Linked DNA regions of Arabidopsis thaliana. The protein of the gene in region 1 interacts with the protein of each later gene in a biochemical or structural test. Each region holds a gene or a part of one and is shown on either strand. Other genes may lie near its edges.

Region 1 (4,739 bases):
TCAATGTCTTTGCCCCTTTTCTAATGCTCCAAGTTCAGATAAGAAATAAAAACTAAATGAACCGTAAAACACAAAGGAGGCTAAGATGTCTATGAATTTCTCTGGCATATGTGCAATAAGGAAGAGCTTCAAGGAATCTTGAACTAAGAGAAGGCTTCAAAGGCTAGACCTCTTCAAGTTCCCCTGTCTTATTATTGACCGGACTATGAAGTTTCTAGGAAGGTTATATAGGCAAAAGTTTATTCCTAACTCTTAATTCATAATTCTGATTGCGATGATTTTTGGTTTGCTAGATAGTTTAGTAAAAGAGCCTTACCATCCAAACTTGTGATCAATATTGGTAACCGTGAACGTCTTCATTAGGGTGAATATTTGAATATCTTTGTTTTCGGGTTACACATAACAACCCGAAAAGTTGTTGCATTTGGCTCGGAATACATCTTGTATAAAAATTTGTCTTTACTTTTTAGTTTTGTAAATCAATAGTATGATTGGTAGTCTATTCGTTTTGTGGAAACAACTTCAATTTGTATTTCATCAGACAATATATATGCATTCAAGTAGAAAATCAAATCGAGTAAATTTGTAGCATAATTAAGTAGAGTGGTCAATATAATAATACGATACATGATAAAAGTCTTGAAAACATTCCACACACAATAAGCCTAAGCACTACTGATCACACAATCCATATTTCTTTAGGCTTTAAAATACATAACTAAGAAACATGACAGTTTAAGGTTTTAGCAACACCATGCCTTATGTTTTAAGTAGTTACTAAATAATTAGATAGACAATGATGGCACCAGCAAACCTTTTAGCCTTTAATTATTCAAGAAGATGGAAGGTAATGATGTCAGAGGCAGAGGGTGCATGAAGGCCATGGTTGGGGTAATAGTGGTGATGGTTCTGGTGGAAACGAAGAGCGTAAGCACGTGACCCTTCGATTTGGTATCCAAGAACTGAGTCGTAATCTCCTCCATTGTCTACTAGTCCATAGTGAGGATCTTCAGCTCTTAGTTCCTAATTCACCAAAACATGTTTTAAGCCATATTCCACATAACTAAAACCAATATTATTAATTCGAAATGACATGACATTTGATATATGATTTAACTAGGAGATATTTCGATAAGAGAATCACAAGAAAACATAAGAGTGACTGATCAATCTACACTACATTTCTAGATATCTTTTTAACTGGCTCCGTATTCCATGAATGTATTATGCCTAAACCAACATTTGAGAAAAACAGAAAGAGATATTACCAGCTCATGTATGAGATTCTTTTGTATGTCTTGTTGACTTTTGTTCTGCAATTGTGTAAACCACAAGAGAAATGATGAAGAAATATTCCCTCCCAAAAAAATTATGAAGATATATACCCAAGTTATTATGACATCACTATATAGTATACTTGGTATTTTCTTTATCCATTAGCTTAAACACACACACACACACACAAATATAATTGTCCAAGAAAAGTGTTATCAACAGTTTTAGTAAGTTGATAAATTCAATTGACACAAAATTGTTGAGACAAATAAATATGATAAAATGGAAAAGTGAGTGGACATAGAAGATGTGACCTTTTTCTTGGTGGTCTCGATCTGATTCCCAAGAGATTTGAACTGTACAGTACAATACAATTAACATATATTATCCAACAGTAAACAAAATGTTTCTTTTTCTAAAACATATATACAACAATAAAATTCATTTTTTAATAATTCAATTCAAAACTGAAGCTTGGGTATATAGGATTAATTGAAACCCTAGGTAAGGGAAAAGTATGAAGAGAACCTTGCGCTCGCGAACGAGTTTGAAAGTGTTTTCCATTTCATCCTCAAGACGACGCAGCTCCTGAATGTCAAGCTCGTCCAAACACTCACCTAGCCTCTGCCTACAATTTTAAAAATATGTATATTTTCGTACTCATTTTTTTTAGTAAAACTCCTCATCTAAGAGAAGAGAGAGAAACAAATACTTGATCTGAGTCCGGAGATTTCTATTTGTCTCCAACAGTTTCCTCTTGGTTTCTTGCATTCGCTGCAGCAAAACGCATCAAGAATTTAACCAACCAGCGAAACACATATCAAGAAGAAGAAGAAAGATCTAAGAAGGAAAAAAACCTCATATTGAGTGGCCCAAACATCGACATCAGAAATAGTTTGGTACAGATCTACGATCTCCTTCGTTCTATAACCAACAAAATCACCAAAAAAGTAGTGGTTAATTATAAGAAAACAAAGCAACTCAATTAGCTTAATTTAAGAGTGGTGTTTAGAGAGATGGTGTACGTGGTGTTAGGGCTGATATACTCATGAAGCTTGTTGGAGCTAGAGAACATGATAATCGAAACCCTAGCATCACACAAAACCGTGAGCTCATGTGCTTTCTTGAATAAACCATTTCTTCTCTTTGAATACGTCACTTGTCTGTTTGTCTGGTTCTCTATCCTCTTGATCTGGATCTTCCCTCTCGCCATATTCTTCTCTCTTTGTTTAATCTTTTTGTTGAAGAGATTTGGTGGAGAGGACAAGAGATATAATGAGAAGAAAGAAGTGAAATAGAAAGAGAGAGATGGAGTTGAAGAAGTAAAGGGTCCACTTGAGTTACTAAAAATGGAAAGTATTGCCTAATCCATGAAAGGTAAGTTCAGAAGTTGATGAAAACTAAGTGATAAATTTTCCATTTATGTAAACTGATTTTTTTAATTACAAGACACTGTTTAAATCAACGGACATCGATGGTTGTATAATTACAAGACACTGCTTAAATCAATTGTCACTTGGTAAAAGAGGGGGACCAAAGCTAAAAACTTGGTTTGCTTTTCGTCAATTTATTAACGGAGCTCCGTTAGCTTCTACTTTGTTTTTGTTTAGACGGTGACAAACTTAACGGCGTTTGTAAACGTCAAATCAGTGCAGGTGGATTTGGTTGGCTTTTTACACTTACCCTAAAGTAAACAAAAGTGTTTAGGTGTGAACAAGTTTTTATATTGGTGTTAAAAGCCAATATTCTACTTTTGTCTGTTAATTTGGGAAATAAGAAGAAAGAGATATATATGTTTGGATTAATCGTCACTTCCATCTAACTCAAATCTTTTATATGTTTCCCCAAATGATTACAATAATTTCCCGGATTTGCCTTTAACTAAAGATCCTTGGAAAATAGAATATTACCCCTAGGGTTTAAGAAGGAATCACAAGTTAGGAGAAAAGTCTTTGTTTGTAGATAATGTTTGGTCCTAACTCCAAACAGTCCATCAAATCAGATATATGATGAAACTCTTTTTTCTTTTTGCTTCGACCAGTTAGTGTTGTTTCAAAACTAAGTTGGCCACAGTTACTGTTGTTTTGAAACTAACATGGATTGATCTTAGTTCATCATCAATTTTCAAGCAATGGAAATCAGTGAGTGAGTCACGAAAATGGAAACCTATCCTTTATACTGATAGGATATCCAAAGAACTTGTGTATCAACTTCACAAGAACAATCATTCTTCGCTTAAAACACAAATTCAGATACAAGAGACTTGTATTTTCATTTCAACGCCTTAAAACAGGGTCAACTATGCATGATGCGGAACTAAAGATGTATTAAAAGATCTACAAGACGTGTTCCTATGGCTAAGGTACATTACACAAGAGATGCATCATTCATCTACACAAACAACACGCACTCTTGATCTGGTCTCAGTTCACTTTCCCTCTTCTCTTCAGGTACTCTTGCATGCAACTTTGGTTTGTTTCAAATATAAAAGGCATTCCCCGTATCTGCGCGCACATATATCGGGTTTAAGTACGGACCTAGAAGCGTAAGTAATGATCATAAAAGAGTATCCCGGATCAAACCTCAACTAGACAATCGGATTTGAGGATTAAACTCTGTCCAGGATCTACTTCCTTCTCATTTACTGAGATTGAATACTTCCCCAGGTTTTTTATATGAAACGAACCGTCATCACCCAGCCGTATGATCGCCTGCATTCAGTAACCCAAAAAGGAAAAAAACATACACAACAACCATTACAGATCCTGGGCTGCTGCTTCTCATACAACTTAAAGACCTAAAATACAAATAGAAGTATCTACTATTGACCGACCTGTCGTCGAGATATTTTGCTACCCCGCTTTTCTCTTCCCAAATCAATGTCCACAGCGAGGTCTTCTGTTGATCTACCCACCAAAACCTATGTTAAGAAAAAAGAACCCCGATATCAACAAGTGCTACTATAATTCTTAAGAAGCTTATCAAATCATACAAGGAATATTAAACGAATAAGATAATATTACCTCAGGCTTCTTGATATAGTGTTTTGAATATCTGCCATATAAAACAGCGAATGCACCACGGGAAGCAATGGCTCTTTGCATATATGAATGAGCAGCCTGCTCAAGTCTTATGATTGTTCTTTTCATGTCTTGGCTCTGATACTTGGAGACTGCAAGTGAAAACATTTTAGGGATTTACAAACAAGCCTTAAACCTCTTCTAACATCTCATACGCTACCCATAGAAAAGGTTTCCCACATCACTGCAGCATGTAATAACTTTTAGGAGCCAAATGCCGAAATACATTCCTATTCACATACTAAAAGCTTTCTTTTCCCAAAAATGTAGATAGATAGAAAGAAACATGAGTTCCACTGGACGAGAAGGGACGCTCAACTACCTTCGAGATCAAAATTATCTTGATCATCAGGTTCCAAGTCCATGTCAAGTATCTGAAATAAA
Region 2 (7,785 bases), on another chromosome or scaffold:
TGGAACCGGGCCTATTCCGAGAGTGTGATTCCCATGTGAGGAGTATCCAGGGAAGACTAGAAATACTCGCTGTATCAGTTCATGCAGAAGGTGACACAAGCATGGATCATTACGATGAGCATGATGATATGGCATTGCAAACCCACAAGCCGTTGTTACCTGCTGAGACTGAGACTAAGGATTTGACCGATCCCGTCGTTGAACTTAGCAAGAAACTGCAGAAGCAAGAGATAAGTACTACAGATAACATAAAGCAAGAAGGTGGAGAAGAAAAGAAGGGGACCAAGTGCAGCACTTGCAACACGTTCGTTGGAGAGGCTAAGCAATACAGAGAGCACTGTAAGAGTGATTGGCACAAACACAACCTTAAGCGTAAGACTCGGAAACTCCCTCCTATTAGTGCTGACGAATGCATGTCTGAGATTGACATGGACGACTCTAGAGCAGATTTGAAAGACTACTCTTTCTGAAACTACAATTTTCTCCTTTTGTGCTTTTAATTTTGTCAATGTGTTAAATCTCGTAGTCATATGTGAGTATGAATACACAAAACTTGTGGAATGAAATTTTGCGCAAACTTTAAGAGTAAAAACTTGTGTTTAAGAGACAAGCTTGGATATTTGGTATTTGATTAATAACTGTGACCAAACAATAGACATCGTACGGCTTGTGGTATTTCATTGCACTAACAACAAAAAATCATGACCGATCAGCATCGTTCAAGAGCATTGCACATATTTAACGTTGTGGTCAGAATTTAGGGAAGTTTGGTTAACACATGGAAGAGACCAGAGAGATAAATGAAGGATAGAGCTTGATTCATTGCCTCCCTGATGATGTGCCCTAAGGAACACACACCGATAGAAAGATGTACATTATAAACTATAAAGCATAAGAAAAACTCCCCAAAGTAAAAAAAGAAACAGTAACTCAAGAGATGGTATTGGTGATTGTGGAGGTGACCTAGAAACCAGTTATTGATACAAAGATTTGACTCTTCCTTTCTTAAGCACAATATCACGGCTTATTGGCCTATCCTTATCCTGAGTTTGAAGATGTGTGATGCTGCGCAAGCAGAACATTACCCTTTCAGTGTCTCTTCTTCCTCTTCTTCATTTCACGCGTTCCAATCAAAATTGTTGAAACCATTCACTGCTCCTAAAAGTTGGTTTCCTAAATCCTGTTGACCGTTTGGATCCCGCACCATCATCCCAACTCTTCCGTTCATGAGACTATTGTTACCGTTTATATTATTGATTCCGTTTGCTGCCATGGATTGACCAATCCCACCACCAAACCCACCAGCACCTCCAATATTTGTGTTGTTGTTGTTGTTCACTTGGCCATTCATCAGTAAAACACCAGAACTATTTACATTAGCTTGACCCTTCCCATCATTCCCGAAAGACCCATGCCCAACCATGCTTCCTCCTGAGCTATTATTATGAGCTTGGTTGTTCATCAGGATTTCATTCAGTATCTTCTGCACCGAGCTAGACTCGTTTCCATCAACCTCACCTGCCTGTTGCATTGCTGGTGAGTTTGTGGAACCCATGTGATTAACAGATGGTATCCCGTTTTGAGAGGGATTATTGTTATTAGATGAGGATGTTGGAGACTGAAATGTTGGCAGGTTGTGTTGTTGCTGCGATGATGATGGCACCATGGTACCCGAGGAACTAGGTGATTGCATCTGAACAGAGTTTCCTCCATAGGGGCTGTTTGGAGGATTGTAAGCAGCATTCTGATGTCTTCCCTTCATTGAATTCTGGTGGATGAGCCCTGCGATGCTGCTGGTGGAAGTGGATGCAGAGGCTGCATTAAAGGCATAATTTACACCATTGCTTGGATTACCCTGCATTAGTGCAACTTGCCTACTACTTTGATCACTGTTTGTATTCTGGGAAACTGTTTGCTGCTGCTGCTGTTGTTGTTGTTGTTGTTGTTGCTGTTGCTGCTGCTGCTGTTGTTGTTGCTGCTGCTGCCTAAGCTGGTCGCTGGCTTGCTGAGGAGAAGGACCAGGCAGTGCAGATGAAGGGCCTGTTCTCCGAGGAAACTTGGCTAAACTCTCTGTACCAAAGAAAGAAAACATGACATCAGTCAAATCACCGGAGAATATGTACAATGAAGTTCTGATATAATACATGAACGAAAAGAGTAGGTGCTTCAAGATTAAAAATACCAAATGCATTAAAAGGTGGTCACATAAACTTACCGATTGGTCCTGTTCGTGTTTCTCTGCTATAATCTATCAGGTCCTTCATACTATTTACCACCTCTGAGATCTACAATATTGCAAAATATCAATGTGCATTGGCAAACATGGTCACAGGGACAGACTAAATACAAAGATTGATTAAGTTTATTTCATTTTTATGTATTATCCTTTTCAAAGCTGCATTTTCATTGATGGCAAGAATCTTAAGTTTTAAGCAAGATTGTAGAGTTCACTTGATCCATATTGAGACATTAGTTATTTACCTGCAAACACCGAACATATCTCTTTGTGTATCCCAAATCATTCACAAGTGGTACTTCCAGGGCCTTTGCCAATTGTCTAGCAGATGCAACAAACCTGCAGACCAGTTGCAGCACATCAGAGATCACCAATCAAAAGTCGAATAACAGGATTTGTTACATCAATTTCACAGCGAAAGAGAGGAAGTTTACATATTGCAATTATTTTGTAGCTCCGGAAGAGCAGAATCTGTTGTTGCATTTTGAGCAGCTTGTTGATATTTCTGAGCTGCCGATCCAAGCTGACTAACCTGTATGTGAATACAAAAATAGCTAATTTACCTAAGCTGTTTTCACTGATTTAGATGTGTAATATTCTACTCCTATTGAAATTTGGAAACCACAAAAGATGAAAGGTAAAGTGACGATTTCGCAAAGAAAAGCAGACTAGAATAATATTAAGACAGCATATCCAATTTTGTGACAAAAGGAAAGGCCGCATCTCCAAAATAACTATATGTCAGAGCAATATGGTGAATCTTTCTGGAAGTTACCTGCGGTATCAAAAGTCTTCGTGGAATAAGCTCTTCATGCCGCCGAGCACAAAATTCCCAGGAGAATATCTGAGAAGGAACTTACAAGAATAAAGGGCTTGGAGAGAAAGTAATAGTATAATAATTTGCTGCGAAAGATAGAGTAGCTTGAAGAACCTTAAGATCTGGCGAGAAGACTATTCGAAGTTGGCCATCACGAACAACCCGAAGATGCTCAAAGACACTCTCTTGTGTTGCTTTTGCATACTCCAGGACAATTTGGCCAGATGAATTCTGGGACTCCCTTGGCATATCTACATATAACAGTTCTTCTAACGTCCCACTCTCATACTTAATCTTAAACAGCCGCGGAAGGACTTCGGCGGTTGCCTCTAAACAATGAAAGAGACAAAGCAGTAAGGAAGGAATATTTGATAAGATGTACAGGAAATTGTCTGCACTGATCATCTAAATAACATACCAAAACCACGTCCAGGCTTTCGGTTACATATCTCACAGTGCCACACATCCTGCAATGTTTGTGGAATAAAAATACTCATGTAAAGAGGTATAACATGAAACAAGTACGTAATTTATCCAGAATAACTGGCTCAGGTGCAAAAGACAAGCTCCTTTACAATTGTATTACAAACAAGATAAGTTCATTGAGCAGTAAACCAACCTGAGGGAAAACGCCTGTTGTTTGCCTGCCACTGCCATACATAGAGACGCACCATCTCTTTTTGGCATTAGGAGCAAAGTACTCAGCTACAAATTTTCTCCAGAACTCGATATTATTGTCCTGCATTTAATAGCAAGCACAAATGTCAATTATGAAGAAAAGCCATAGGCTGAAAGAAGTTAAATTTATGGTAAGAAGCTTTACTTCAGGCCTATGTTGTTGTCTGTACATATACTGTGTAAGACGCTGAGCACCCATGCCAGGTTCATACACTGGTTTCAGAGGTGGCCTTAGAGGTAAATTCTGCTGTTGGAACTGCTGTGGTAATTGAGGACGCTGTTGAGGCATAGATTTCAAGAGTTGCTGTTGTTGAAGTTGCATAAGTCTCTGCTGCTGAAATATGTTCATTTGAGCCTGCGGAGATTGCCCCGGCATTTGAAGAAATTGTTGTTGTTGTTGTTGCTGTTGTTGCCTCTGCTGTTGTTGGAGAAACAATGACTGCTCAGAATGTTGAGGTTCCATTTTCACTTGGGCCAAATTTCTCATGGCCTGAATTTGCTGCGGTTCCAACTTAACTGACCCTAGGTTTCTCAACATTTTCTGTTGCTGCTGTTGTACTTGACCATGCTGCTGATCATTCGAAACCTGACCAGGCTCCATCTTAACAGGTCCCACACCTGCTAATCCACCACCACGCACTGTCGAAAACTGCTGCTGCATTGACTGCTGCTGACCATGTTGAAAACTCTGCGTCTCCATTTTCTTATTCCGTTGTTGCTCAGCCAACAACTGGTTAGCCGAAACATTCGAAAACTGCTGACCCTGAACTTGACCTGATGAGCGCGGAGACACCATACTCGACGCATTAAAAGACGACAAACCACTAAACCCGACGTTAGACATCGGGTCAGACTCAGCACCACTTGTATCCATAGAAATCATAGAACCAGGGATACCATTTACAAAAGACTGATTATTGAGAAGAGAAGATATATTTGGAGCATTCCCAAGCATACTCATACTCATATTGTTACCAAACTGAGTACGCGGAGAGACAAGTGAAGGAAATGCTGGTTGAGAAGGAAGAGGAGCTCCTCCTTGTCCTCCTAATATCGAAGGCGGAACATTTTCACCACCCCCAACAGGATTAGGCGGCTCTGATGGTACCATACTCTTACTAATTCACAACTCCACAATCAACAAAGAAAGCAAGAAACAAAACTGACGACTTTATAAAACTCAGCTCTGTGTAGGAGCAAAGACGTATTCTTTCTGAGCAATGATAAGCTTCAGAGTCGTAAACACCACGGAAAGAGATGAATCTGAGTGATGAGATTCCGTATCGAACATTCTAGAACCAAACAACACTGTCTGTTGATTACTTACAGATCTAAATTAAGCAAATCTACTCCATTTCCAACTCTCACCACCTTAACAAAACAAAAGCATAATGTTAAGAACAAACCCAGAAAGAAAAAAACGAAACTTTGATCAAACCCTAATTGAGAAAAAAAACAGAGATTACTAGTGAGAATCTATAGAAACTTACCCAGAGGTGGAATTGAAGAATAAGTCTCTGATAAGACTCAAAACAAAGAGAATCGAACAAAAAGGAAGAGACTTTACACAACTAAAAATCTGAAAACTTCCGATGAACAAAATCTTGAAGAAATTTGAAGTCTTTTAGGGTTTTTTATTGATGGGTTTGGGGATAAAGAGACGAGAAGACAAAGAGAAACAAAAAGAAGTAGAAACAAATTTTCTCTGCCGCCTAGAAATTGTAGTTTCTGGGTTTTATTAAAAATTATACCTTTTTAAGCTTCACAGAGTAATTTGTGTCCTGTTCTTCGCTGTAGAGAGAGAGAGAGAAGAGAGAAAGAAGAAGATGAGAAGAGAGAGAATAGTGTCCTTGCGGACGTCAAAATTGTATTCGATCGGATTTATTTCATTCCCTTTCTTACTTTTTCTTTTTCAGTCTCTCTCTCTCTTCTTCTTCTTCTTCAAAGGAAGTCAATGACATGCCCTAGAAATGTTTTTTTTTTGTAATCACAATCTGGATTTTTTTTTTTTGTTAGCCACAAACATTTTTCTCTTTATTTTATTGGTTTTAGTGTTAAATTGTTATTTTTCCATTCAGAATACTATCACTTTTAAATACCTTAAGAAAAGTTTGATTTAGAAAGATATCAAAAGTTTAATATACACATCAATAGTGTTTTTTCTTAGAATGTAAAGTTTGGTTTAAAAGAACATAATGGAAATGACACTATTTTTATTTGTTTTTAGTTCTAAATTTGATATAGAAATTTTTCTTTCTTTTTTTGGTTTTAGTTTTAAATTTGATATAGAAATATATCAATATTTAATATATTACTACATTAATAGTGGTTTTTCTGTTTAAAGTTTATTTAAATGTGTAAATTTGGTTTGAGAGAGAGAATGGAAAACAAGACTATTTTTAAGAAAAAATATAATTATGGAACGACAACATAAAATTAATTTGAAAGCGGATTTATGTATGAGATTAAACAACTCGAGTTTGATCTTCATCCCTTGCTTAGATGATTTTTTTTTCCCATTCCCCTTATATATTCTTTTTCGTCTCAACTTTCTATCTTTTTTCTTTTGTTCAAGTTTTCTTAATTATTTTTGTCTACGCTTTTTAGATAATAAAAACTGCTTCTTATTTTCTTTATTTTATTGTCTACATGGTTTCATTACATAGAAGCTGAACTATAATAATCATGATGGTATTTTAAAGTTATAAAGCAAAGAAAATAAATATTATATACAAATGAAACTCCACAAGGAATTCTCACGGTTTAGAGTATTTGCATATTCATTTGTTTAATAAACCGTTTTCTATTAATATTAGAAAATATATAAAAAAAATAATTCAGTTTTTTAGTCTGATGTGTTGCAGATCATTTTCTAACATAAATATATTTAAAAGAAAAAATCAGACATGAGAGCATATATATGAACCATTGCTGAATATAAATCTTAAATACCTCATTTTTTCTGAACCTAATAATGCATGTAACCAATTTTAAGTCAAAAGCATTTTTTTGTGTGTTAAAATGTTAAATTTATTAGTCAACAAAAAGAAAAAATATGTATAAAGAGTTGAGAGAGTGCTTCACCCGGTTTAACAACACCACAAACCAAATAGCTTTTATATTGATTTAAATTACAATCACTAATGGTTAAAAAAACAGACTCATATATAGCCAAAGATATTGGTATTGCAAGAACTTCTCCTGCCATTGGAAACATGGTTGAATATTTTGATCTATTTATTTTTACTACCTTAAAACATGGTTGAGTATATCTGACTCGTCTTTTTGATATGTTTCCAACTCATTTACAGAAAGAAGATTGTAGACTTAAACTGGTCTATCAAACACTATACTCAAATTATCTCTACAAAATATTTATCAGCAAATTATTATTTCTCACACTTTAGATTACCTTATCCACGTATAAGTTTAAAGCTAAACAATGCAAATATCATTATATGAAAATGATCAAATATTTTAGCCACTATCAATATTTTATTGGCTTTTTCTATATCTTCTCAATATCTATCAAATTTGGATGTCATTGCATAAATCATATCTCTCAAATCTTACGTTAAACCCTAAATACCATACTTGATTGTTGTATATCTCATTGTAGTAACTATTTGATGTTACTTTATAGAAGAAGAGAATGTTAACATATGATTTAAAGGTTTTTTACTATATGACGCGGTATGTTCTAATCAATTGTTATTGAAGGTGACTTGTTTGATTAGAATAACTTTTTAAAAAATCTGTCGTCTTACAATTTATATCCATATATCATGTCAAATGCAAATTAATAATTCCACTTATTATCACAATCTAATACAATAATTCCTCTTGTGATTTTCACCCAACACTTAGATATTTCCAATCTTAAACTAGAAAATCTCACATATTCTTACAGTATTACGAACACTTATGATACTATTACTTAAGGTGTTTTTTGATTGGTAACACGCATAATGACATAACGGTGTTTTCTAATGCGATTATGCAAGAAGTTTGTCAATCAAGAAAAAATCTGCATAATTACATTAACAAACGCAAA

Evidence for each region.
Region 2: the proteins of AP3 (region 1) and SEU form a complex in vitro, tested with the Arabidopsis thaliana proteins (one study listed by BioGRID).

The regions. Positions count from the first base shown.
Region 1 is NC_003074.8:20,118,600-20,123,338, forward strand, and holds AP3 (K-box region and MADS-box transcription factor family protein), read right to left. Parts: upstream 2,716-4,739; 5' UTR 2,489-2,715; coding exon 2,301-2,488; intron 2,200-2,300; coding exon 2,133-2,199; intron 2,050-2,132; coding exon 1,988-2,049; intron 1,904-1,987; coding exon 1,804-1,903; intron 1,632-1,803; coding exon 1,590-1,631; intron 1,314-1,589; coding exon 1,269-1,313; intron 1,024-1,268; coding exon 829-1,023; 3' UTR 541-828; downstream 1-540. Other genes in the region: emb1967 (Forkhead-associated (FHA) domain-containing protein), read right to left, coding at 3,699-3,779, 3,858-3,986, 4,109-4,195, 4,299-4,447, 4,678-4,729. UniProt on the Arabidopsis thaliana protein: Probable transcription factor involved in the genetic control of flower development. Is required for normal development of petals and stamens in the wild-type flower.
Region 2 is NC_003070.9:16,614,929-16,622,713, reverse strand, and holds SEU (SEUSS transcriptional co-regulator), read right to left. Parts: upstream 5,727-7,785; 5' UTR 5,222-5,726; intron 5,103-5,221; 5' UTR 4,843-5,102; coding exon 3,877-4,842; intron 3,793-3,876; coding exon 3,673-3,792; intron 3,521-3,672; coding exon 3,472-3,520; intron 3,383-3,471; coding exon 3,168-3,382; intron 3,081-3,167; coding exon 3,012-3,080; intron 2,769-3,011; coding exon 2,671-2,768; intron 2,576-2,670; coding exon 2,482-2,575; intron 2,286-2,481; coding exon 2,216-2,285; intron 2,071-2,215; coding exon 1,118-2,070; 3' UTR 665-1,117; downstream 1-664. Other genes in the region: AT1G43860 (sequence-specific DNA binding transcription factor), read left to right, coding at 1-470. UniProt on the Arabidopsis thaliana protein: DNA-binding adapter subunit of the SEU-LUG transcriptional corepressor of the C class floral homeotic gene AGAMOUS during the early stages of floral meristem development.